Linked DNA regions of Anolis sagrei. The protein of the gene in region 3 interacts with the protein of the main gene of each other region in a pairwise test. Links are inferred from orthologs where the notes say so. Each region holds a gene or a part of one and is shown on either strand. Other genes may lie near its edges.

Region 1 (7,934 bases), on a different chromosome or scaffold from region 3:
TTATTGTATTTCTACTCAACAAAGCAGGAAAACAACCAGTGATGGAAAACTTCTCTCAGCTCAGTTTGGAATACTCTGAAGTATCAGGGAGCCTGGGAAATTGCTCCACCCCCAAATCTGAGACACTGCTGTGGTAACAGAGATTGCTATAAAGTGTTGGCTAAAAAGCAATTAATGAATCTTAAAAATAAAATATATACATAACTTTCAAAAAGAATGACATTGGATTTGTAATTTGCCAGACTATAGTAAGCAGAACAAGTTGATATTCTGACACAGGTAATGATGATTCATCCCTAGCAAATCACACGTGGAACATTTGGCAAGGGGCTTATCTAAATTAGGACATTGTTCTATGTCAGTAACAGCAGGTCGACTTTTTGCTCTCAGGAAATGGCATTGCTAGGTCCAGCATAAGCTTCAGAAATCAGGTTATTCCTGCTGAAATCACAGCAGCCATCCTGATAGCCGGCAGTCTGCAATGATCCAGAGCAATCCATGAGAAAAAGGGTTTAGGTGTGCAAGTCAGAAATATAAAGTTTGTAAAGTTCTCCCAACTTCTTTTATTGGAAAAAAAACTGTTCCAGAGAAAGCTTTTAAACATTTACCACAACACATTCTGATGCTTCATGAACAGGATTTATTGGCATCAAGGCTCCATCTCAGCAGCCCTTCTGAATGCTGATGTTCAATTCTATTATTACTCTACACTTTTCAAAGAGGACAAAGGCAGTTTGGTATCAGCAGAGCCCAAATCCTTCATGAGTGAGTCAAACGCAGCTGCAAGTACTCTACCCATCTAGGATCAGGGTTTTCAGTCAGTAACAAACATGAGTCTACCTCTTCTCCCCACCCTCTCTATTCAATTTGTTCTCAGTAGGTTACAGGGATTCAGATCTGTGTCAAAGGCTGTAAATGTTTTGTTGGCACATTAGAAAAAAACTGTAATAATCCATGAAGCAATAAAAGATATCCTTTTTGCCTTATGGCTGAAAAGTCAGACTCTGATAGTTGCAAAGCAAATCTTTCTTAAGGGCACAGTGAAGGCAATTTCAATAACTGAACTCTCATGCAGAACTATGTTCAAATTTTATTGGAACATATGCTCAACAAGCATAGACATCTGTATCTTTGTACATAGAGATGGCACAGAACTCTCCCTGGTCCTCTAAGGTGAATAGCCATTATTGCAATAAAATATATAGATCACAGAAGAAAATCTACAGTGCAACTGAGAAACTATTGTGTGCGGAATGTAAGATAAACCCTACTGGATGGCAGTTGCTGGATCAGACTTCATTACATTCTCAAAAGTGGATGGCCAATAACCTCTCAGACAAATCACAAACAGGGCATGACATCAAGATAACAGTTTTCTGCCTCAAGGATCCCAATAATGAGGAATGTTTCCTCGCCTTTACCTGTCACAGCTAAATACCATTAATGATGTGGCATCTATATCTTCTGCTATAAATCCTGAAGCAAGCTGTGAAATGGCTTTCTATTCTTGGTTTGAAAGAATATCCAGACATGGAATAACACTACAGTCTGACATGGAGTTAAAAAAGAAACCCCCTGTTTTCACCATCACAAATTTTGTAAAGCTGTGCTCAGTTCCATCATCTGATGGAAATGAGTATTTAGAATTAGCAAGGCACTCTATTTCTTCCATGGCGGGATGCTCAGATAATTGTAAACAATACTTCTATTTACATTAACATTGAGTAGTCAAATACACAGATGCCCTTTTCAAACACACACACAAAGTACACGTGATCTCAATTTAGTTCTATTTTCACATTTAATAACTTCCTCAGATTAATTCTCTTCTTACACTTTTTAAACAGGGAGAAAGTATTTCAACTATTACTCTACCATTACCCTCCTGCTGCCCTCCAGTTCTTTTTAAGGTGATTTTACTTTTGACTAGACACTGAACCTTACAAAAATGTAGGTGAATTTGTTGGGGCACAATTCCCTGACAAAGGTTTTGGAAGTACAGAGATGATGAAAATCCAAAACCTCAATACCAGAAACAACATCCCCCTGCTCCTGGCTTTAAACTATGTCCTCTTCACATACTCTTCCCACTTCTATCCTTGCTTGCCTTCCTTACAAAAACTTGCAGCTTTCAACAGGTTTCATCCAACTTTCCAACAACATGCAGCTACAAGGGACAGAATAAGATGAAGGCAAATGTCTATATAATCAAGGGATAAAGGAGGAGATTTGAACAAGGCTCATCCCTTTTGAAAGGAAAGGAGGGGGGCCAGACCTCTTCTCCCACAGTCTCTTTAGGCAATTAATAGGAAAGCCCTCCCCTACAGAACAGGGGGCACTGTACCTGGCTCAGGATTACTCAGGTCTGGGAAGATGAACTGCTTGCAGGTATCTGGGTCCAACTGAGGTAGGCTTTTCTTGCGGCACAAGTCCGTGACAATCCGAGCTGCTGTCTGACAGTGGATTTCCTCTTTCGTGGCGGTCATTTCCCAAGCTGCATCTCCCTTTGCCTCCTACCTGGCTGACTAGGAGAGATTCCAGTGGAATAACAGCAGCACACTCACAGTGTCACACAATCTAGGAATCCACTACTGCCTGGGGTCATTCAGGCACCTCACCGCCCTGAAGGCCACTCTTGGAAGATATACGCTGAGTTCTGGGCTGAGCCTGTGCCACCTTGATGCCACTTTCAACAAACCACCACTTGCTACCGGCACCTTGTGATTGCCTTGTTGCATCCGATATCAGAGAGCTGTATTTACTGCCAAGACGTGTGCTGCACAAGGTTCCTCCTCTCCAATTCACTTTGACTCCCTCCTTGCATAGTTTTCAAAGCCAAATTCCAAAGAAGCTCTTTAACCTCTTCATTGCTGTGCCTTCCCTTCCAGGTGGTGGTGGAAGAGGCATTGCCAGGGACTTGTACGAAGCAGTAAAGCTCTCTCTGGAGCTCATGCAAGGTGGGGTGGCGGGAGAGAGAGCATTGAAATCCTCCAGCGCAGCAAAACAGCTTGTCACAACACAGAGCTGAAGCTGAGCAACACCATTGGTTACTAGACATGCTGTTTTCAGCACAAGGGAGGGAACAGGTTTTATTTATTGGCTTATTTCAGCCCTAACATGCTAAACTGCAGATTGCTAATAGGGCGCCAGCCCTGTTTTGTGCTCAGTAATTAGATCATTGTTTTAATTTACAGTACCACTTCTGGGCTCCCACTGCCAGATCAGGCTGTGCAACCAATCTGCACGTAGAGGAAGTGCCAATTGTCAGGCATGAGCAATGATCCCATAATGGGCAATTAGAACAATACTCAGTAGAAATGAATTCTGGAGTGGAAGAGAGGAGGAGGAAGAAGAAGCAAGTCTAACAACATAAGAGATGATAAGGGGGCTGCAGCCTTGTTCTCATGGATCATAAGTAAGTGGGTGTGTGGAACAATGCTAATGAACATATAGTGTCAGATAATTACCCGTTAACGTAATTTTACAGGATCATGATGAATTAGTGTAAAATAATAGCATGTTCTAATTCCAGATAGGTGGAACTTGAATATCATTGTTGCCTAAAAAAAGTCACAAATAGATGAAGAAAGCTTGGCTATGGCCTCTCAATAGTATTTTGCTTACTTCAAAGGGCAGAGAGAAAAGACAAAAACGGAGAGGGAGATTAGAAGAGTCAAATAGTTAAAAAGAAACAGAAGACTAAAGGAGGAATTAGCAGAGCCTTATAAACATATGAATAGAGTAAAGACGCTGAGGAGAGAAACTTATGCATATCTGCTATTTTGTACTTTCAGCATTAATTTCAAAATTCCACGTCGCCTGTAACTTCATTGTTAGTTTGTACGGCTTTTGTAGGATTCTGTGGTATAATTCCTGCCACTCTTGCTTTTCCCTTCATATCTTTAGTTGCAATGTCAATGGATTATACAAGAAACAAGGTAGTAACTATTCAAGCTTCTGTCTTAGCTTTTCAAGTTCTTGTTCATCTATCCTTTCCCAAAATGTACGTGTAAAATGGCCATGGCTGAGATGTATGGACTTATTGTGCTGAGCAATCAAACCTGGCTATTTTTACCACCCACTAACAAATCACACAACAAAAGGAAACTAACTAACAAAATGTGGACTAAGGTAAGCTGATGCTAAGATAAACAGATCGATAGATGGACGACATCCTGTTTGGAACTAAGCCAATGTACAGTCATACATCTTTTGTATTCTCAGGTGGGGGAGAGGAGACATAACTGTATTGTCAGGCTCACTGCACAAGTGCAGCCAGCAGTATGGTCATTGCTCAAGACAGTGCTGGTGTAGAACATGGGCCAATACACCACAAGCCATGTTGCACAATGTTGTGTGCCAATGCACATGTCCCATGTCCTGATGTGCAACCTGCCCTGGTATAGAACATATCCTGATGGACAATACATCCTATTGTGAAACTGAAGCCCCTGTTTTACAATGGGACATCCTTCATAGTGCCTGATGAACATCATGGCAATGAACTGACATGATTGCAGATTGTGATCTAAGTCGCATAGCACTGTCATCATAAAGTTTTGTATTGTAGCCTTTAGTGTATGGTATGGGTCAGATATCTTTTACAAATGCATTAGAACTAATTTCTTTATTACTGAACTACAATATTTCAAGATTAAGGACCTTATTGCAAGGGAATATACTCCATTTCTGAGACTCCTTGAACATGATTCTGAAATGGTGTTTGTCCCATTCCATCAGTAATCCATCAAGATCTCTCTGCAAAATGTTGCAAAAATGGAATAATTGCACACAGGATTCTAATCGGGTTTTTTTTAAAATAATAATAATAATATGGCTCTGAAACTGTTTTTACTTGTGATCATAAAATCAGTATGCATTCTGTCATCTAAAATCTCATGAGAACAGTAGTTTGAGACTTCCAGGCTGTCACTGCACAATATTAGAAGAATTTTTTAAGTGACAAAAGGAGGCATTTGAATGGATTGGGAGGAGCCATCCTTCCAAGGTGTGATCAATCAAAGTGCAGTATTTTCAAAATGTAAGAACTGGGTGTGATGGGGCAGTATGCATCCCATCTGAATACAGTATGCATCTCGTCCTTTAAAAAATACAAAATTCATACTGATATAAATGAAGTACAATCCTAATGTGATCAGCTCCTAGATCCTCCTTTGAAAAAATAGAATTGGCAACTAAGCGAGCTCTCCAAGCATCAAATGTCAAATCAGTCTACCCTAAATTCTGCCAGTCATTACCACAAGTCTGGCCCAAATATATCTTATATTTTCCTCCTCTTGCTTGCTCACCTTCCTCCAGATGAGTGTTAAGGTCAACACCGTTGCTACAAGAGTCACAGGTAAAATTAGTTCATGGGTGACATTTTTATCCTTCATTGATTGAAAGCCTTTTGCACCACAATGAGAATCCCCATCTATCGTGGGATCTGAAAATGTCCCATGTCCATAAAAGTGTTTTAGAGGCAAAACCAAAGGTACTCCACAATACACAAACACATTTCCACAGTTTTCATTAATACCAAACACAGAGCCAAAAAGTACACATTCACATGAGGTGGAAAATATGTTTTGCATAAATGTCAGCCCTCTTTTTGTACAGCAAAACTACCTGTGGCTGAAATTTTGGGAGATTCTTTACAATTCTTCAGGGGGCAGTGGCATAAAATCCTATCTTGAGGTTTAGTTCTTTGTGACTTCTGCAATAAAATATGAATGTGAGGGAATAAAGCATCTTGTCTGCCTGGCTGAGGGTTTGTAATTCTCTCTCAATGATATACATTGACCTCTTGCTTGTAGATGACTAAATGCTACACGGGTCAGGGATCTCAGGGTGATTGAAGGAAAATGAACTGGGAACAAAAGAAAGTTAAAGGGTTTTTGAAGCATTTACATCACAATGAAAGCAGCTGACATAACCCGGTCTATTTTTCAGAAAAGACAGTTATAGTTGACATATTCACAAAGCAATATGCAATCCAGAAACTGTATGCTCCTAGGGAAAGGGAGATGAGAATAAGACTATTTTCTGTTAGGGCTGGAGGCAGACACCATCATTTCAATGCAAATTTTGTGATTTGGATCTAGGCCCAATTCATTTCAGATTGATCCGGACCCAATCCATTCTGATTCATTTCCCAAATCCAAACTGAGATTCAGGAATTTATATCAATAGTTCTTTCCCATTGATTTACAATCTGAAACAAAAGGACTATTGGAAGACAGCAGGTTTCCAAAAAAGGCATTTGTCTTGAAATTTTGGTGCTACACACTTAGTAAACCTTGCCATTTGGTGGTGGGGAGGGGGAGCTATTGACAACTCTATTTTCCTACTGTAGTTGTATCATTTATAGTTATCTACAGTTGTGGTTTAAAGTTATTTTGTTATGTATGTTATTTCTGTTTGTTTTGTATTATTAAAATTGCTACTTAAATATGTGATCAAAATGGATGTGGTCTCCAAAATAAAATCTGAAATGAGAGACCAATCTTCTGGTCATTTAAATCAGTCTGCATGTGTCGTATGTTTGTAAAATCACATTTCCTTTATCAGACAGTGTGCCAATTCTATTTTAGTAGCTAATAAAGTTTAGTCAGGCTTGTTATGTATAGACATTGTCTTTTGCCATGACAACAATATTTAGCTCTTCCTCCTTTTCAGTCTTGTCTATCAAATAGTTAATGGCTAGTCATTCACCTTTAAATGATAATAAATGTACAAGACAATGCTGCTTGCTCTTGGTCAGCTAAATACAGGAAAAACAAAAACTAGATGTATTTCCTGCCACTTTTAATTAGAATTAGCACTGAAGATACAAACCTCTTGTTAGGATACATTTCCTCAATTGGCTTTTCCCAAGCCACAACTTTTACTGTTTTTTATGACTTGTAAGACACTTATTGGTGCACATGATGTATTATATATTGCCAATAATGTTATATTTTGTTTTCACTGGAAAAGCCAAAACATTTAGAGAAATACTAAGCTTGTTTTTGAATGGCAGCAAGCTATTTAAGTTCTTTTCCAACTTTACCTCCTTGAACCTGTAATACTGTGACTGGTTTCCTTGATTTATCTATGCCATTGTAATTTACAGTTTATGAAATAGTCTTTTCTTTGCAAATAATTATTTGGGGTACCTTGCATTAGGACTTAATTGCAGAAAGTCAGCAGCAGTCAAACGATAACTCCTGGCAACTACATATTGTCACGAGCACCTTTATTATAACACACCTCTCTATTTGCACAATTGCATCTATTTGCCAATCCATGGTCCTGCACTTATACTTCCACATACCCTTGCATCTTGCACTTCTGCTTTGGCTAATTTTAAAAAAGTGAAATACTACTGAAATTGAAATATTAGTGGTCTGGGAATAATGAGAGAAAGAGTAGGAGAGAAGGAGAATATCATCTGCTGATGTGACATCAGTGCTGGCAAGGTACGGGGTTGGCATCTGTTGTCAGAGCTTTCCTATCAATAGTTGGCACAGGTTAATTGTGGGGAGATGGTGACTGGCAATGATATGAAAATGGCCTTTGATTATGGTCCTATTTCAATGTTGGTTTGCCTCCTTCATGTGACAAAGTCCTGAGTTATTGCATTGAAGCAGCTTCTCAGCTGTGACATTGCAAAATGGTTCAGGTCCCTGCTGTAGCAAGTGGGATCAAACAAAGTGTAAAGAGAAATAGATGATTGCCTTTCATTATTTTGAAATAATGGAATGAATTGGAAATTTACTTCACTATTCTAATGTTCCATTCCCCTAGTTAGTTCAATTTCAAAAAGATAGAACTGTACAGTGGGGGGCAACACTGCAATCGTCATACCACCCTGGAACACAATGGTATTAGACAATGTGAGGGAAAGGTGACTAGGAACCAATTGTTTGTATAGTGATCTACAAATTATTTGG
Region 2 (7,437 bases), on a different chromosome or scaffold from region 3:
AATCCCATTTAATTTTCTGCCACTTTTTAACATCTTTTAAAATGTCCCAGTTTCTCTATCCTTCATCCATTTTCCTTTTTAATCTTCCGCTTATTTCAAACTTAGCTGGAAACTGAATTGTTTACATTCAATAAACTCAGGGTGGGATGCAGGGGATAGGAAAGGGTAGAATTTTGCTCTTCCCTGTAGGCTCAGAGAAAAGCAAACTGCAGCATCCTTGCTCAGCCTGAATGTTCACCATGTTTGCCACCTTGACTACACTCTGGTGTTGCTTAGAAACACATATCCTGGTTTCATTGGTGAAACGTTGAGAGAATGGATCTCATCTGGGCCAGGACTATTGCAACTGTGACTAATAAAGGTTGCGACCTCTTTTTCATATCCAAGTAGTGACTGTATGTGTTTATTTGCCAAAACGTCACTCCTCATGGCCTCACTGCTAGGTACTACCATTAAAACTCTGACAGGAAAATATCTGATTTGTTAGATCACTCTACTGCCATCACAATGTGAAATTATAGAAGGCACCCACATGATGAAATCATCCTGAAGAAGAACAACAACGAAGGGAATCCCTCTCACGTATGTGCTGGAAGCTCCTGCCTTTCTCTGTTACTTAACACTAATCACTGCTTACACAACGGGTTTGAAAAAACCCTTGGCAAGGTGGAACTGCATGACCTACCTCCTAGCACTTCACAGTCACTGTCCATGCTGTCGTGAACACCTGCAAAGATGTTGGCAATAGTTGTTTTGCCGACTCCTTGTTCCCCTATAAGGACCACTCGGTAGTAGCTATTTCCCGATTCAGATGAGATGACGGAATCGGAAGACTCCGATGACCAGCTCCTTCGGTAATACTCTTCAGGGTTGATGGTGTACCTTTTCTGTTGGTTGGACTCATGGGGGTCTCTCTGGACCACCAAATGCCTTGCGTCTGCTGGGATGCTCCAGCGCTGCTGCTGGGATTGCAAGGCACTACTGTTGTGACGCATCGTGACATTGTTCAGAGTCATGGCTTTTGTCCCCTTTTCCTGGTTTAAAAAAAGAAGAACCATGGAATAACAAACATTACTCATGACAACATGGCTGTGAAAAGGCTGGCTACCTTCTTGTGTGTTCTTGAAATGTGGTAATCTCAGCAGTCATATCTCCAGTGGCACAATTAAGAAAACAGTCCACAAACTGTGAAACGTTCCTCCAGTGAAGGGGCAATTCTTGTTCTGAAAGTTGGGGGATAATGATGTACTCATACTGGAGTTTACCAAAGATTTACTCTATGGTTGAAAGTATCTGGAGATAATTCTAAGTACCCCCACCAAATAATAAATTCTAGAATCCCTGAATTATGACATTAATTTTTCACAAGCACAGAGCTTAGAAAAGTAGCTGTTGTTGTTATACATTTATATCCCACAGGATGCAATTAAATTCCAATGTACGCAGACTGAAAATTAAAACCCTTGTGCATTTACAGATGCATATGATATTATAGGGCTCCAAAGTTACATGTTTGGACTATTAATTCCAGCTGAGGGATTCTGGTAACTATACTCCAAAAAGTACTTTTCCAAGCTTTGCAGTTTTGGGTGGTTAATACTGGATACTGTTCTGCAAGTAGCTAATAATACCTATAAGAAATACCCTTTGGTTTTTCCATCATTTTAGTTAACATTGTATACCTGAGTCCCTTATTTTCAGCTCCCTAAAAGTGTCGGGTCCAAAGTCTTGTAATGAGGAAAAGGAAACATTCCAAAGGAGCAAGGACAACAGATGTTATTAAGTTTTTTAAAAAGGCTAATTACTTGGAAAGGTTTTAAAACCAGTGATCTGAGTACTTTCCCCTTCTCTAAAGATGGCTTGTACAACTTCTGGAAAGAAATATTTGGCACTGGAGGGAGGCAATGTTGTGAGGTAATTCCTGGTGGCCAGTATCATCGGCAGCTACCATTTTAAGGAAAGTTGCTTTGATGCTCTCCAGCTCCCAACATGACAGTTATTTAGACATTTTGCTTATTCATGTTGAAGCCTGAACTTTCTTAGTTCACTTCTCATCTCTCTATCTAACAAACAAAGCATTTACTAGGGAAGGAACGAGAGAGAGAGAGATCTGAGGTAAGTTTTTAAAGTTAACATACAGATGGGTCTGCAAGTTTTTCAAACTCTGTGTGTCATTCAGAAAAAGGGAATTTCAAAGAGAGGCTGTGAAACAAATATATTGCAAAGGAAAGCAGAAAATTCTGCTTTAGATTATTTCAAATTCAAAGCATGTATTTTTCTGCATCTTCTGCCACTACCGGCAAAAACACCAACTTTTACCCTCATTTGAGCAAAAAAGTAATGGGATGCTCACACAATACTATCTACTGTACAAAATGAGACAGGTCCTTTTTTATTCAGCTCCTATCAATCTGTAGAACTATAGATGATACACAACTCATCTCTGTATAAGTGACACACTCTCACACTATTAACAACCTTCCTCTAGGTAGTATGGACGAGAACAACACACTAGCATGCCTTTGACTTAATTCACATAGCATGCAGACTTTGTTGTTTGCTTCTCTATACTGCTAAATAGTGCTGATGATTGCTATCAAGGAAATAAAGTTAGATCGGCTGCAAACTTCAAGCTCTCTATCGCTCTACATTTCCCCGTTATCAATTTCCATGCCTACAACGCTGAAGACAAGTAGTCAAATGAAGTCTTGTGAAACCAATACTACCTTGCTGTCTTTCAGAATCTCCTGTCTCAACCAGAGTCAACACTCTTGGTCTCACTCCCTTTGTCAGAGAGTTGGTGGATCTTGAACCAGTCTCCCACGGAAAATCCTTCCTCGGTCTCTGGGGCCGCCTGCCTCTCTAATTCTTTCTCAGCAAACCTGGTTTATATTAAGCCCATCTGATCAGAGACAGGGCTTTTCCGTGACGTCGTTGGCCTGTCCCTTCAACAGGCAGCCCTCAGCTGGACGGAAGCAGGCATGCAAGGGAAAGGGAGGGAGAGCTACCAGTGATAGCAAAATAAATTCATTCGCAGGCAGGCAGGCATTCTTTTCTTCTGCTTCTAATGCTGGTAAGTGGACTGCCCACTCGGTTCCACAAGGGCACCAGCAGAAAAGTAGCCAAACTATATTTCGTAACTCCTTTCCTTTCTGCTAAAGTGCTGTTGAATGAGCAGTCCTTCAATATTACTTTGGATTCATAAACACAGGAAGCAATCAATTGAAATGCCAGGCTATAGTGGGAAATAATAGATAAATAATAGCCCAGCCTACCATGGATCCAGGAACTGTGGGGAGAGAATTGGGGTTCGAGCCTTCCCTCACAGTTGATCTGTCGAAAGAGGATCACAAAGGCTCCTACACAGCTGACTCGTCAGGAATTACTAACCAGAAGTGTCCTAAAAGGTCAAGCCCTAAGAAACATGAAGGCAGCTATTGTTGCTGAGCTTTTCCAGGAATAATAAAGGCTGCTGGCGATTTATCCTGCTTACTTACTTGGAAGTAAGTGACACTGAGCATATGGAGGGCAGGCAGAGCTGGATTTAAGACAAATGAGGCTCTGTGATAGTTAAGTTATGGGGCCCCTGACTTGGGCCCTGAAGGAGGGAGATCCAGTAGCCCTACACTGCCTGCTTTGTGGCACACTCCCATAGACGATCATCTCTATTATATCTGGAATCTCTCTGAAACAGAACTCTTTCAAATGCAGAAGTGCACCACATAAGCAAAATCCATCATATCAAATTTGGGGAAGGGGGGGGGGGAGATGTGTCCCTCCCCCCAGCCAATGGTACCCTGTGCTTAAGCACATCTAGGCACAATAGTAAATCTGGCACTGAGAGCAGGGCACTTCTCAGTGCACACTGTGCTTGTAAGAGTCTTCATATTTAAGGCTATTTGGGTGATACCGGATGGGCAAAGTAATTGCCCTTTCCCTGTAAATAGGCAAAATTACTAATAGTGTGATTGTCAAGGTTGAGATCCCCCACCTTAAAAACAGCTCTGGGATCCCCAATAATTTACCATTAGCAATCCATTAGAATGTTGCAATGAATCACTTTTTATATAAGAGCTGGGCATGTTTAGCCTGCAGAAGAAAAGGCTAAGAGGAGACATGATGGCTATGTATAAATATGTGAGGAGAGGTCATAGGGAGGAGGGAGCAAACTTGTTTTCTGTTGTCCTGGAGACTAGGATGCAGAACAATGGCTTCAAACTAAAAGAAAGGGGATTCCACCTGAAAATAAGGATGAACTTCCTAACTGTGAGGGCTGTTTGGCAGTGGAACTCTCTGCCCCGGAGTGTGGTGGAGGCTCCTTCTTTGGAGGTTTTGAACTGAGGCTGGATGGCCATCTGTCAGGGGTGCTTTGAATGCGACTTTCCTGCTTCTTGGCAGGGAGTTGGACTGGATGGCCCATGAGGTCTCTTCCAACTCTATGATTCTATGTTTCTATGATTCTATAGTTTATCCCATCTGATTCAGAATGCTAAACAAGATCAGGACTGGTAAGTAGTACTTGTGTAGGAGGCTCTCAATGAATACCAGGTGCTGCAGACTATATTTCAGAGGGGTTCAATGGCAAGCCACCTCTGAGTATTCCTTGCCTGGAAAAATTCTATGAAATTAATTGAATTGCTGTAAGTCCACAGGCATCCTACATAACTATTTTTATAGAGATTTCTGGTGTGATGTATGGTTTGAGCATTGGTTCAATTTCCCACTTGGTCATGGAAGCCCACCAGGTGACCTAGGGCAAGTCACACCCTTGGCTGCCAAAAATGTCATGATAGTATTACATTAGGGTCAGCATAAGTTAAGCGATAGTTACACCAGGGATGAGAATTATATAGCCTTCAATATAAATGTTTCTCAGGCTGTCTGATGTAGATGTCCAGCAATGTTTTGTTTTCCGAATGGGTCAGAGACTGATGCCATATTTGGATCCATTGGCTACAACTGTTTTCTTCTTTCTTGGAAACTCACCATGGATCAGAAGATGATGGTTCTTGGGTTGGCATCAGCCTGTGGACTATCACTTTGAGTTCAAGTATTTTGGACTACATCTCTCAGAATCCCTTAACACTATCCATGCTGACTAGAGTTATAGTTCAGTAATAACTAGGAGGGCAGCATGATTCACCCAATCCAATTTGCAATCATGATTTCATCTGGTGTAAGTCATTCCTACTTATATTATGAAGTGTCTCATAGAGAATTTTTAGCAGCTTCACCAAACTTCCATTCCCAAGATTCCTTGGGGGAAGCCATGGCAATTAAACTGATACAAAAGTAAAATAACCTTGTAGTGCAGGTTTAGTCAGCATGTTAAATGCAACTTGAACATTGAATACAAATGCCATTTTGGGGAGCTAAACCACCCATCCATCCACCACATAATCTAGAACAGAAAGAGCAAATATGTTGAGGGAAGGCACTCTCAGATCATCTCTGTATGATTCAAAGCAGCAAAACAAAGTAAATTTATTACAGAGCCAAACTGAACACCATTCCCCCCAATGATAAGTACCAACAGTCATTTTTATGATCAAATGAGTTTTATTCTATGTATTGCAAACATATGTGTAGTATATGAACCCACTAATTTTCTTTTAAAATCAGCCATGCAATACTGTAAGAGTTGACCTTTCATTAAAAAAAAACCCTTTTAGAATTAATTTGGTGTTGCTGAGCACAAAGACTAATTAGATACTTAGGGAACACTTGGTTTTTTTACCCAACTTGGTAGTTTAGTGGGCTTTGCTTTTGATGTTGCAGGTGGTTTTTCATGGCAGCCTGACTGGACCACTGTGTTCTGGAATTAGAAGTTTGTGTACATTTAGCTCTTATTCAATCGATCCTTTTCCCCCTTGGTCTTAAGCAGAACCCTTCCTGGCAGAATAATCTAGTGGTTTACAATCATGAGTTACAAAAAGGCTGAGGTTTCAGGCTACGACTTCCAGAATTGCCAAACAATATAGCCACACATCATGGTAGCTAAATGGCATTTCCTTGTTCAGAAGTGCTATACCACCCAATAGAAAATGTGGGAACTATAGAAGCAAGGCATTACATAGAGAAAAACGAAGCCGTATTAAACTGAGTTAGACTATTGGTCCAAGTAGATCAATATTCTGTACATTGACAGACATGAGCCCTCTAAAATGTTACCCAGGATTCCTTCTCTGTCATACATGAAAATGCCATGGTTCACACCTGGAACCTATTGGCCTTACTTCGAATCATCCTCGATATATTTACCTTGCTGTCAATGAAAATAAGCAACATGTCCTCAAAAGATTTTTGGAGGATGCTGATTTTTTTAATCCATTTCAATCCGGCTTCAGGCCAGGGCATGGGATGGAAACAGCTTTGGTCGCCTTGGTGGATGATCTACTAGGGGAACTAGACAAGGGGAGTGTGATGATGCTGGTCTCGCTAGACCTCTCAGTGGCATTCAATACCATCAACCATGGTATCCTTCTAGAAAGCCTGGTGGGGATGGGACTTTGAGGCACTGTATTGCAGTGGTTCTGGTCCTTCCTCTTGGGTCATCTCCAGAAGGTGGTGTTGGGGGAGTCCTGCTCAATTCCATAGCCCCTGGGCTCATCATTATCCCCAATGTTGTTTAACATCTACCAGAAACTGTTGGGAGAGATCATCTGAACCATTGCCTGAGGGTGGTAATGGACTGGATAAGGACAAACAAATTGAAGCTTCATCCAGATGAAACAGAAGTACTGCAGGTCTCGCGGAAGATCGATCTGGAGATAAGGTTGCAACTTGAGCTGGACGGGGTTACTCTCCCCCTGAAATCTCAGGTTTGCAGTTTGGAAGTGGTTCTGGACTCCACCTTACATCTGGAAGCACAGGTAGTGTGGTGGTGGCCAGGGCTGCCTTTGCAAAATTAAAACTTGTATGCCATTTCTGGAGAAATCTGACTTGGCCATGGTAGTACACACACTGGTTATATCCCGTTTGGACTACTGCAACGCGTTCTATGTGCCCTTAAAAAGTTTCTAGAAACTGCCATTTGTCAAGCAAATGGCAGCTAAATACCTCATTGGAGCTGACTCCAGGGAGCACAACATCTCGCTGCTGAGACAGCTCCGCTGACTCTCAATTACCTTCTGGGCTCAATTTAAGGTGCTGCTTGTAACCTATGAAACCGTACATGGTTTCAGTCCAGGATATTTGAGACATAGTTTCCTACTATACAAGCCGGGTAGATTATTAAGATCAAGTAATGTAACGTTCTTCTCCACTCAGTTCTTCTCCACTCAGCTGTCACTTAACATTGGCTAGAAATGGCACATTCTTGGGCACGGCACCAAAAGCTTGGAACGCTTTGCCAAAAGCGATAAGAGCAGCCACCTGTGAGGTAGCATCTTAGATATGTTAGTCTTGTTATTTAATTTTGATAATTTTACATCCAAT
Region 3 (7,074 bases):
TTTTGTCTGCCTTGTTCTTTTCTGCACTATTTTAGGTTATACGTTCCCTGACCGAGGCAGTATAGTTATATTTATTTACTTACAATATTTATATGCTACCCTCACTCAGAAGAGGACTCAAAGCGGCTTACAAGTTGTATGTACATACATTACATTATATTATTAGCATACCACAATATTAGTATTATATATTACTATATTGTACTATACGACTATATTGTAATATTATTAGTAATATTATATGTAATATGAAATATAACATTATCTTGTATTACTATTGGCATTATATTGTATTACACTATAACATTTATATGTGTATACAATATATTATATTATTAGCACAGCACAATATTAATGCTATATATTACTACTAGCTGTACCTGCCACGTGTTGCTGTGGCCAACCTTCCCTCCCACTTTCTCTTCTTTCTTTCTCTCCTTCCTTCCCTCCCTTTTTTGTTTCTGTCTCTTCTTCTTCACTTTCTTCTGCCCCGCCCACCTTTTTTTTCAATTCCTCTTTCTCTCCTTTCTTCCTTCTCAACCTATTCTTGGACTGCAACTCCCAGCACTCCTCCTGATTGATTGATCTATCTACCTACCTATCTAGCTCTATCTAATCTATCTATCTGGAGGATTGCTGGGAGTTGTAGTCCAGGAATAGGAAATTGGAAATATGCAGGGATTGGGATGCTCTCAAAGAAATCCAAGGAGAAGAAAGCTTGCAACCTGGAAGCAGTGCATTTGGATCATCCTCCTCTCCTAAAGGGCCTGGTCTAGGGGATGCTGGGAACTGTAGTCCAGAAGAGAATGTGGCTATTGTGCATTTTGTTTGCCAGGGGAGTCATTTTTGCGCATGTGGTATAGCATTTTTGCTTTTTAAGTCCCTTCTTCTGTGTTTTTCAGTGTTTTTATGATAGTCACTCGTTGGCCTGATAGGCGTATTGTATCCAAATTATGTTAATCCCACAAAGGAACATTACATTTTTATTTATATACTAGCTGTACCCGCCACATGTTTCTGTGGCCGACCTTCTCTCCCTCTTTCTCTCCTTTCTTCCTTCCCTCCCTCCCTCTCTCCTTTTCTTTCCCTTCTTCTTTCTTCCTTCTCTACCTGTTTCTTTTCTCACTTCCTTTGCTCTTTGGTTCCATCCTTGTCTCTTTCCTTCCTTCCTTTCCTTCCTCTTTCTCTCTTTTGTTCCTTCTCGCCTTCCTTCTCTTTTACTTTTTTATTTCCTTCTCTCCTTCCTTCCTTCTCTACCTTTCTTTCCTTCTCTCCTTCTTTCTCTCCCTCCTTCTCTCTCTACCATTCTTTCCTTCCTTCCTTCTCTTCTTCTCTCCCTCTATCCCTCCTTCTCTACCCTTCTTTCTTTCCTTCCTTCTCTCCTTCCTTCCCCCTTTCTGTGTATGTGCTTTGTGTGTATATGCATATATGCGTGTGTATATATATCTGTGTGCATATATAGTGTGTGGATCATAATAAATTGTGGCAAGTTCTTGGTGGGATGGGCATACCAAGCCACCTTGTGTCTCTCCTGAGGAATCTGTACAAGGAACGAGTCGCAACAGTAAGAACTGACCACAGAACGACAGACTGATTCTAGATTGGGAAAGGCATACGGCAAGGCTACATCCTCTCACCCAACCTTTTTAACTTGTATGCAGAACACATCATGCGAGGATGTGCGGGGCTTGAGGAATGCAAAGCTGGGGTGAAAATTGCTGGAAGAAACATTAACAACCTCAGATATGCAGATGACACCACTCTGATGGCCGAAAGCGAGGAGGAGCTGAGGAGCCTTCTAATCAAGGTGAAAGAAGAAAGCACAAAAGCCGAGTTGCAGCTAAACATCAAAAAAACCAAGATTATGGCAACAAGAATGATTGACAACTGGGAAATAGAGGGAGAAAACGTGGAGGCCGTGACAGACTTTGTATTTCTAGGTGCAAAGATGACTGCAGATGCAGACTGTGGCCAGGAAATCAGAAGACGCTTCCTTCTTGGGAGGAGAGCAATGTCCAGTCTCGACAAAATAGTAAAGAGTAGAGACATCACACTGGCAACAAAGATCCGCCTAGTCAAAGCCATGGTCTTCCCTGTAGTCACCTACGGATGTGAGAGCTGGACCGTAGGGAAGGCTGAGCCAAGGAAGAGAGATGCTTTTGAGCTGTGGTGTTGGAGGAAAGTCCTGAGAGTGTCTTGGACTGCGAGAAGATCCAACCAGTCCATCCTCCAGGAAAGAAAGCCCGACTGCTCATTGGAGGGAAGGAGACTAGAGACAAAGCTGAAGTCCTTTGGCTACATCATGAGGAGACAGCAAAGCTTAGAGAAGACAATGATGCTGGGGAAAGTGGAAGGCAAAAGGAAGAGGGGCCGACCAAGGGCAAGATGGATGAATGGCATCCTTGAAGTGACTGGACTGACCTTGAAGGAGCTGGGGGTGGTGACGGCCAACAGGGAGCTCTGGCGTGGACTGGTCCATGAGGTCACGAAGAGTCGGAGACGACTGAACAAATGAACAACAACAACAATGGTTGTTTAGAGGCATTTTCTCCTGACGTTTTGCCTGCATCTATGGCAAGCATCCTCAGAGGTAGTGAGGTGTGGTGTATCTATATCGTACTATACCACTATACTGTAATATTAGTAATATTACATGTAATGTAAATATACATGACTATATTGTATTATTATTATTAGTATTATTATATTGTATACTGGTGATACAGGAATGAAAGTTGAGAGAGGAAAAGGGTTGAGGTCTCCATTGGATGACCTTGCCATTCCTTGAGACCTGGGCCTTCCTCACAGGGCTGTTGTGAAGTGAGGGAGACTCGTGCCTGCCACCTTAGGAGGAGGAAAGTCAGGATTAACCATGCCATTAGCAGATAACATTCCTGAAAGCAGAGCCATCACCCGCAGTTCTTGTTGAGCTCACCTTCCCATTCCTGGGGCTGCCATTCACAAACAGGGTGACTCTCTTCATCTCTTCTCCTTCTTCCCTCAGAGTGACATGCTCTTCCCCGCCTGGGTTGCAAACCCGGAAGCCGAAGTTCTTTCCCTGACTCAGCCTATTCACCAATCCGCAGCAAGCCTCGTTCTCCTTCGCCCAATAGGAACTGCGATGCACATTGTAGGCGGGACTTTCGCCTTAGAACAGCTCCAGCGGGAGCCTATCAGAGCGCAATGTTTTTCCAGCTGAGGGAGGGGCTACTTTGCATAGGGAAGAGGAGCGCCGCTTCTGATTGGTTGTTGATCCTATGACGTTGAATTACCAACGGTCGTTTGTCGGTTAACGATGTCGACGCTTCCGCGTGGCCGGCTCTCCTTGAAAAGTAGTCCCTGGGATGTGGGCGGTGCCTCTTCTCATTGGAGGAAAGACGTGGGAGAGTTTTGGTCACGTGAGACACAAAACTGGCCAGAATTCAAGGGAAGTCGGGAATAAGAATAACAAAGAGTCTTATTGGAGAAAAGGCGGAGGGATACGTAATTGCATCGCGAGGGAAGAGGCTTGTTTGAATGGAAAGCGCGAGGAAAAGGCAGTCGCTCTGAGGCGAGTGAAGGGAGAAGGTGTTTGTGTTGAAGAAGCTTTAATGAGGCCTGTTGTTGTTGTTGGCGGCTAAAGGCCACAATGGCAAGTGTGTCTACACAGCAGACAGGCGCCTCCCCGAAGGGCCCCAACGCCGTGGAAAGGCCCACTTATTGGACCCCTCGCAAGAGTGGATTAGGACCAAAACCAGGCCTTGAAAGCCCCGCGACGCCGCTAGATTTCTCTACCTTGAAAGCAGCTGATTTTGGCATTACCCCGGAGTCGTTTACAAAACAAACGGAAGGTAATGTTCCAAGAAATCTGGGTTGTTGTAGGTTTTTTCCGGGCTATATGGCCATGGTCTAGAGGCATTCTCTCCTGACGTTTCACCTGCATCTATGGCAAGCATCCTCAGAGGTAGTGAGGTCTGTTGGAACTAGGAAAAAGGGTTTATATATCTGTGGAATGACCAGGGTGGGACAAAGGACTCTTGTCTGCTGGAGCTAGGTGTGAATGTACCAGGTTTTTTTTTTTTTGGTCGTGTCAGGAGTGACTCCTGTTGTGAGAAAATTGGCCGTCTGCAAGGATGTTGCCCAGGGGACGCCTGCATGATTTTTGATGTTTTTATCACCCTTTTGGGAGGCTTCTCTCATGTCCCCGCATTAGGAGTTGGAGCTGATAGAGGGAGCTCATCCGCCTCTCCCCGGATTCAAACCTGCGACATGTCGGTCTTCAGCCCTGCCGGCACAGGGGTTTAACCCACTGCGCCACCGGGGGCTCCATAATGTTTCAATTGACCACCTTGATTAGCATATAATGGCCAGACAGTGCCTGGAGCAATCTTTTGTTGAGAGGTGATTAGATGTCCTTGTTTGTTTCCTCTCTGCTGTTGTGCTGTTGTAATTTTTGAGTTTTTTTAATACTGGTAGCCAGATTTTGTTCATTTTGATGGTTTCCTCCTTTCTGTTGAAATTGTTGAAATTGCCCAGACACGAATCAAGGAACATGAAAGGCACTGCAGACTACTTCAACCAGAGAAGTCAGCCATAGCAGAGCACCTGATGAACCAGCCTGGACACAGCAGATTATTTGAGAACACAGAAGTGCTGGACCACTCTCACAACCACCATGTCAAGCTACACAGAGAAGACATTGAAATGCACAAGCATGTGGACAATTTTAACAGAAAGGAGGAAACCATGAAAATGAACAAAATCTGGGTACCAGTACTAAAAAACTAAAATTACAACAGCACAACAACAGAGGAAACAAACAAGGACATCTAATCACCTCTCAACAAAAGTTTGCTCTAGGCACTGTCAGACCATTATGTGCTAATCACGGTGGTCAGTTGAAACATTCACACCTAGCTCCAACAGACAAGAGTTCTTTGTCCCATCCTGGTCATTCCACAGATATATAAACCTGTTTTCCTAGTTCCAACAGACCTCACAACCTCTGAGGATGTTTGCCATAGATGCAGGCGAAGCATCAGGAGGGAATGCCTCTAGAACATGGCCATACAGCCCGAGAAAACCTACAACAACCCAGTGATTCCGGCCATGAAAGCCTTCGACAATACTTTAAAGAAATCATATGGCAGTCTGTGTCGTGTGTGTTTAAGGCAGTGTTTCCCAACCTGGGGGACCTGAAGGAGTTGTCAAAGATGATTAGAAAACATTATTTTCTGTTGGTCGTTCTGTGTGGGAAGTTTGGCCCAATTCTATCGTTGGTGAGGTTCAGAATGCTCTGATTGTAGGTGAACTATAAATCCCAGCAACTACAGCTCTCAAATGTCAAGATCTATTTTACCCAAACTCCACCAGTGTTCACATTTGGGCATATTGATTATTAGTACCAAATTTGGTCCAGATCCATTTTTGAGTCCTCAATGCTCTCTGGATGTAGATGAACTATAACTCCAAAACTCAAGGTCAATGCCCACCAAACCCATCCAGTATTTTCTGTTGGTCATGGGAGTTCTATATGCCAAGTTTGGTTCATTTCCATCATTGGTGGAGTTCAGAATGCTTTTTGATTGTAGGTGAATTATAAATCCCAGCAACTACAACTCCTAAATGTAAAGTCTATTTTCCCCAAACTCCGCCAGTGTTCACATTTGGACATATTGAGTATCCATGAAAGTTTGGTTCAGATCCATCATTGTTTGAGTCCACAGTGCTCTCTGGATGAATTTGCACAACTAAAACTTGTGCGCCAGCTGCGCCCGTATCTTGGGAAGGCTGACTTGGTCACGGTATTCCACGCTTTGGTTACATCCTGTTTAGACTACTGCAACGCTTTCTACGTGGGGTTGCCTCTGAAGACTACCCGGAAGCTGCAGCAAGTACAACGTGCGGCAGCCAGATTACTAACGGGTGCTGGGTATAGGGAGCACACCACTCCGCTGTTACACCAGCTCCACTAGCTGCCAATTAGTTTCTGAGCACAATTCAAAGTGCTGGTGTTAACCTATAAAGCCCTAAACGACTCCGGCCCGGTTTACCTCTCTGAATGTATTCTCCCCTACAAACCATCAAGATTACTAAGATCGTCTGGAGGGGCCCTGCTCTCGGTCCTGCCGACTTCACATGCGTGGCTGGTGGGGACGAGGGACAGGGCCTTCTCGGTAGTGGCCCGGCAACTCTGGAACTCTCTCCCGTCAGAGGTTAGAACTGCCCCAACAATCCTGACATTCAGGAAACAGGTGAAGTCGTGGTTATGGAGGCAGGCTTTCGAAGAATGAAACAATGATCTGCATGGAAGACGGTGTATATTCGATTTTAGTATGACGACTGACCACTGTAGTTTTAAATATATGTGCTTTTTAAATGTTTTATTGCAATGTGTATTTTGATATTTTACCGATTGTATGTGTTTTTATGGTTGGAAACCGGGCTGAGTCCGTCTTATGAGGTGAGAAGCTCGGTATATAAAACTTTTAAATAAATAAACAAATATTTATTTAAAACTCAAGGTCAATGCTCACCAAACCCTTCCAGTATTTTCTGTTGGTCATGGGAGTTCTTTGTGCCAAGAGTGGTTCAATTCCATCATTGGTAGAGCTCAGAATGCTCTTTGATTGTAGATGAATTATAAATCCTATCAACTACCAAATGACAAAAACACACACACACGCAAACACACCTCTAGATTTCTGTCAGCAAATGTGAAAGCAAGACAACAAAAAGAAAGGAAAAAACAGGACAGACAGGTGGTCTGTCAAATTTGGGTGTATCAGGTATTTCTGCAATTACAACTCCCAAATGACAAAATCAATCCCCACCAGTATTCAACTTTGGGCGTATCGGGTATTTATACCAAGTTTGGTCCAGTGAATGAAAATACATCCTGCATATCAGATATTTACATTACAGTTCATAACAGTAGCAAAATGACAGTTATGTCGTAGCAACAAAAATAATGTTATGGTTGGAGGTCAACACAACATAATGAACTGTATTAAAAAAAGGCTGTGGCATTAGGAAGGTTGAGAACCACGGTTTAAGGGGTAGCCATGAATGATTTTGGAGGCATGTGTGAGTAAG

Evidence for each region.
Region 1: the proteins of KCTD9 (region 3) and SYT6 interact in binary tests that used the Homo sapiens proteins (3 or more experiments, as listed by UniProt). The two-hybrid records come from large-scale screens. The link is inferred for Anolis sagrei from reciprocal best matches to the Homo sapiens genes KCTD9 and SYT6.
Region 2: the proteins of KCTD9 (region 3) and GEM interact in binary tests that used the Homo sapiens proteins (3 or more experiments, as listed by UniProt). The two-hybrid records come from large-scale screens. The link is inferred for Anolis sagrei from reciprocal best matches to the Homo sapiens genes KCTD9 and GEM.

Annotation. Positions count from the first base shown.
Region 1 is NC_090024.1:202,976,156-202,984,089, forward strand, and holds the start of SYT6 (synaptotagmin-6), read right to left. Parts: upstream 3,015-7,934; 5' UTR 2,487-3,014; coding exon 2,345-2,486; intron 1-2,344.
Region 2 is NC_090024.1:34,049,100-34,056,536, reverse strand, and holds the start of GEM (GTP-binding protein GEM), read right to left. Parts: upstream 3,015-7,437; 5' UTR 2,727-3,014; intron 1,035-2,726; 5' UTR 1,017-1,034; coding exon 686-1,016; intron 1-685. UniProt on the Homo sapiens protein: Could be a regulatory protein, possibly participating in receptor-mediated signal transduction at the plasma membrane. Has guanine nucleotide-binding activity but undetectable intrinsic GTPase activity.
Region 3 is NC_090027.1:6,177,897-6,184,970, forward strand, and holds the start of KCTD9 (BTB/POZ domain-containing protein KCTD9), read right to left. Parts: upstream 3,060-7,074; 5' UTR 2,984-3,059; coding exon 2,936-2,983; intron 1-2,935. Other genes in the region: CDCA2 (cell division cycle-associated protein 2), read left to right, coding at 3,629-3,830. UniProt on the Homo sapiens protein: Substrate-specific adapter of a BCR (BTB-CUL3-RBX1) E3 ubiquitin-protein ligase complex, which mediates the ubiquitination of target proteins, leading to their degradation by the proteasome.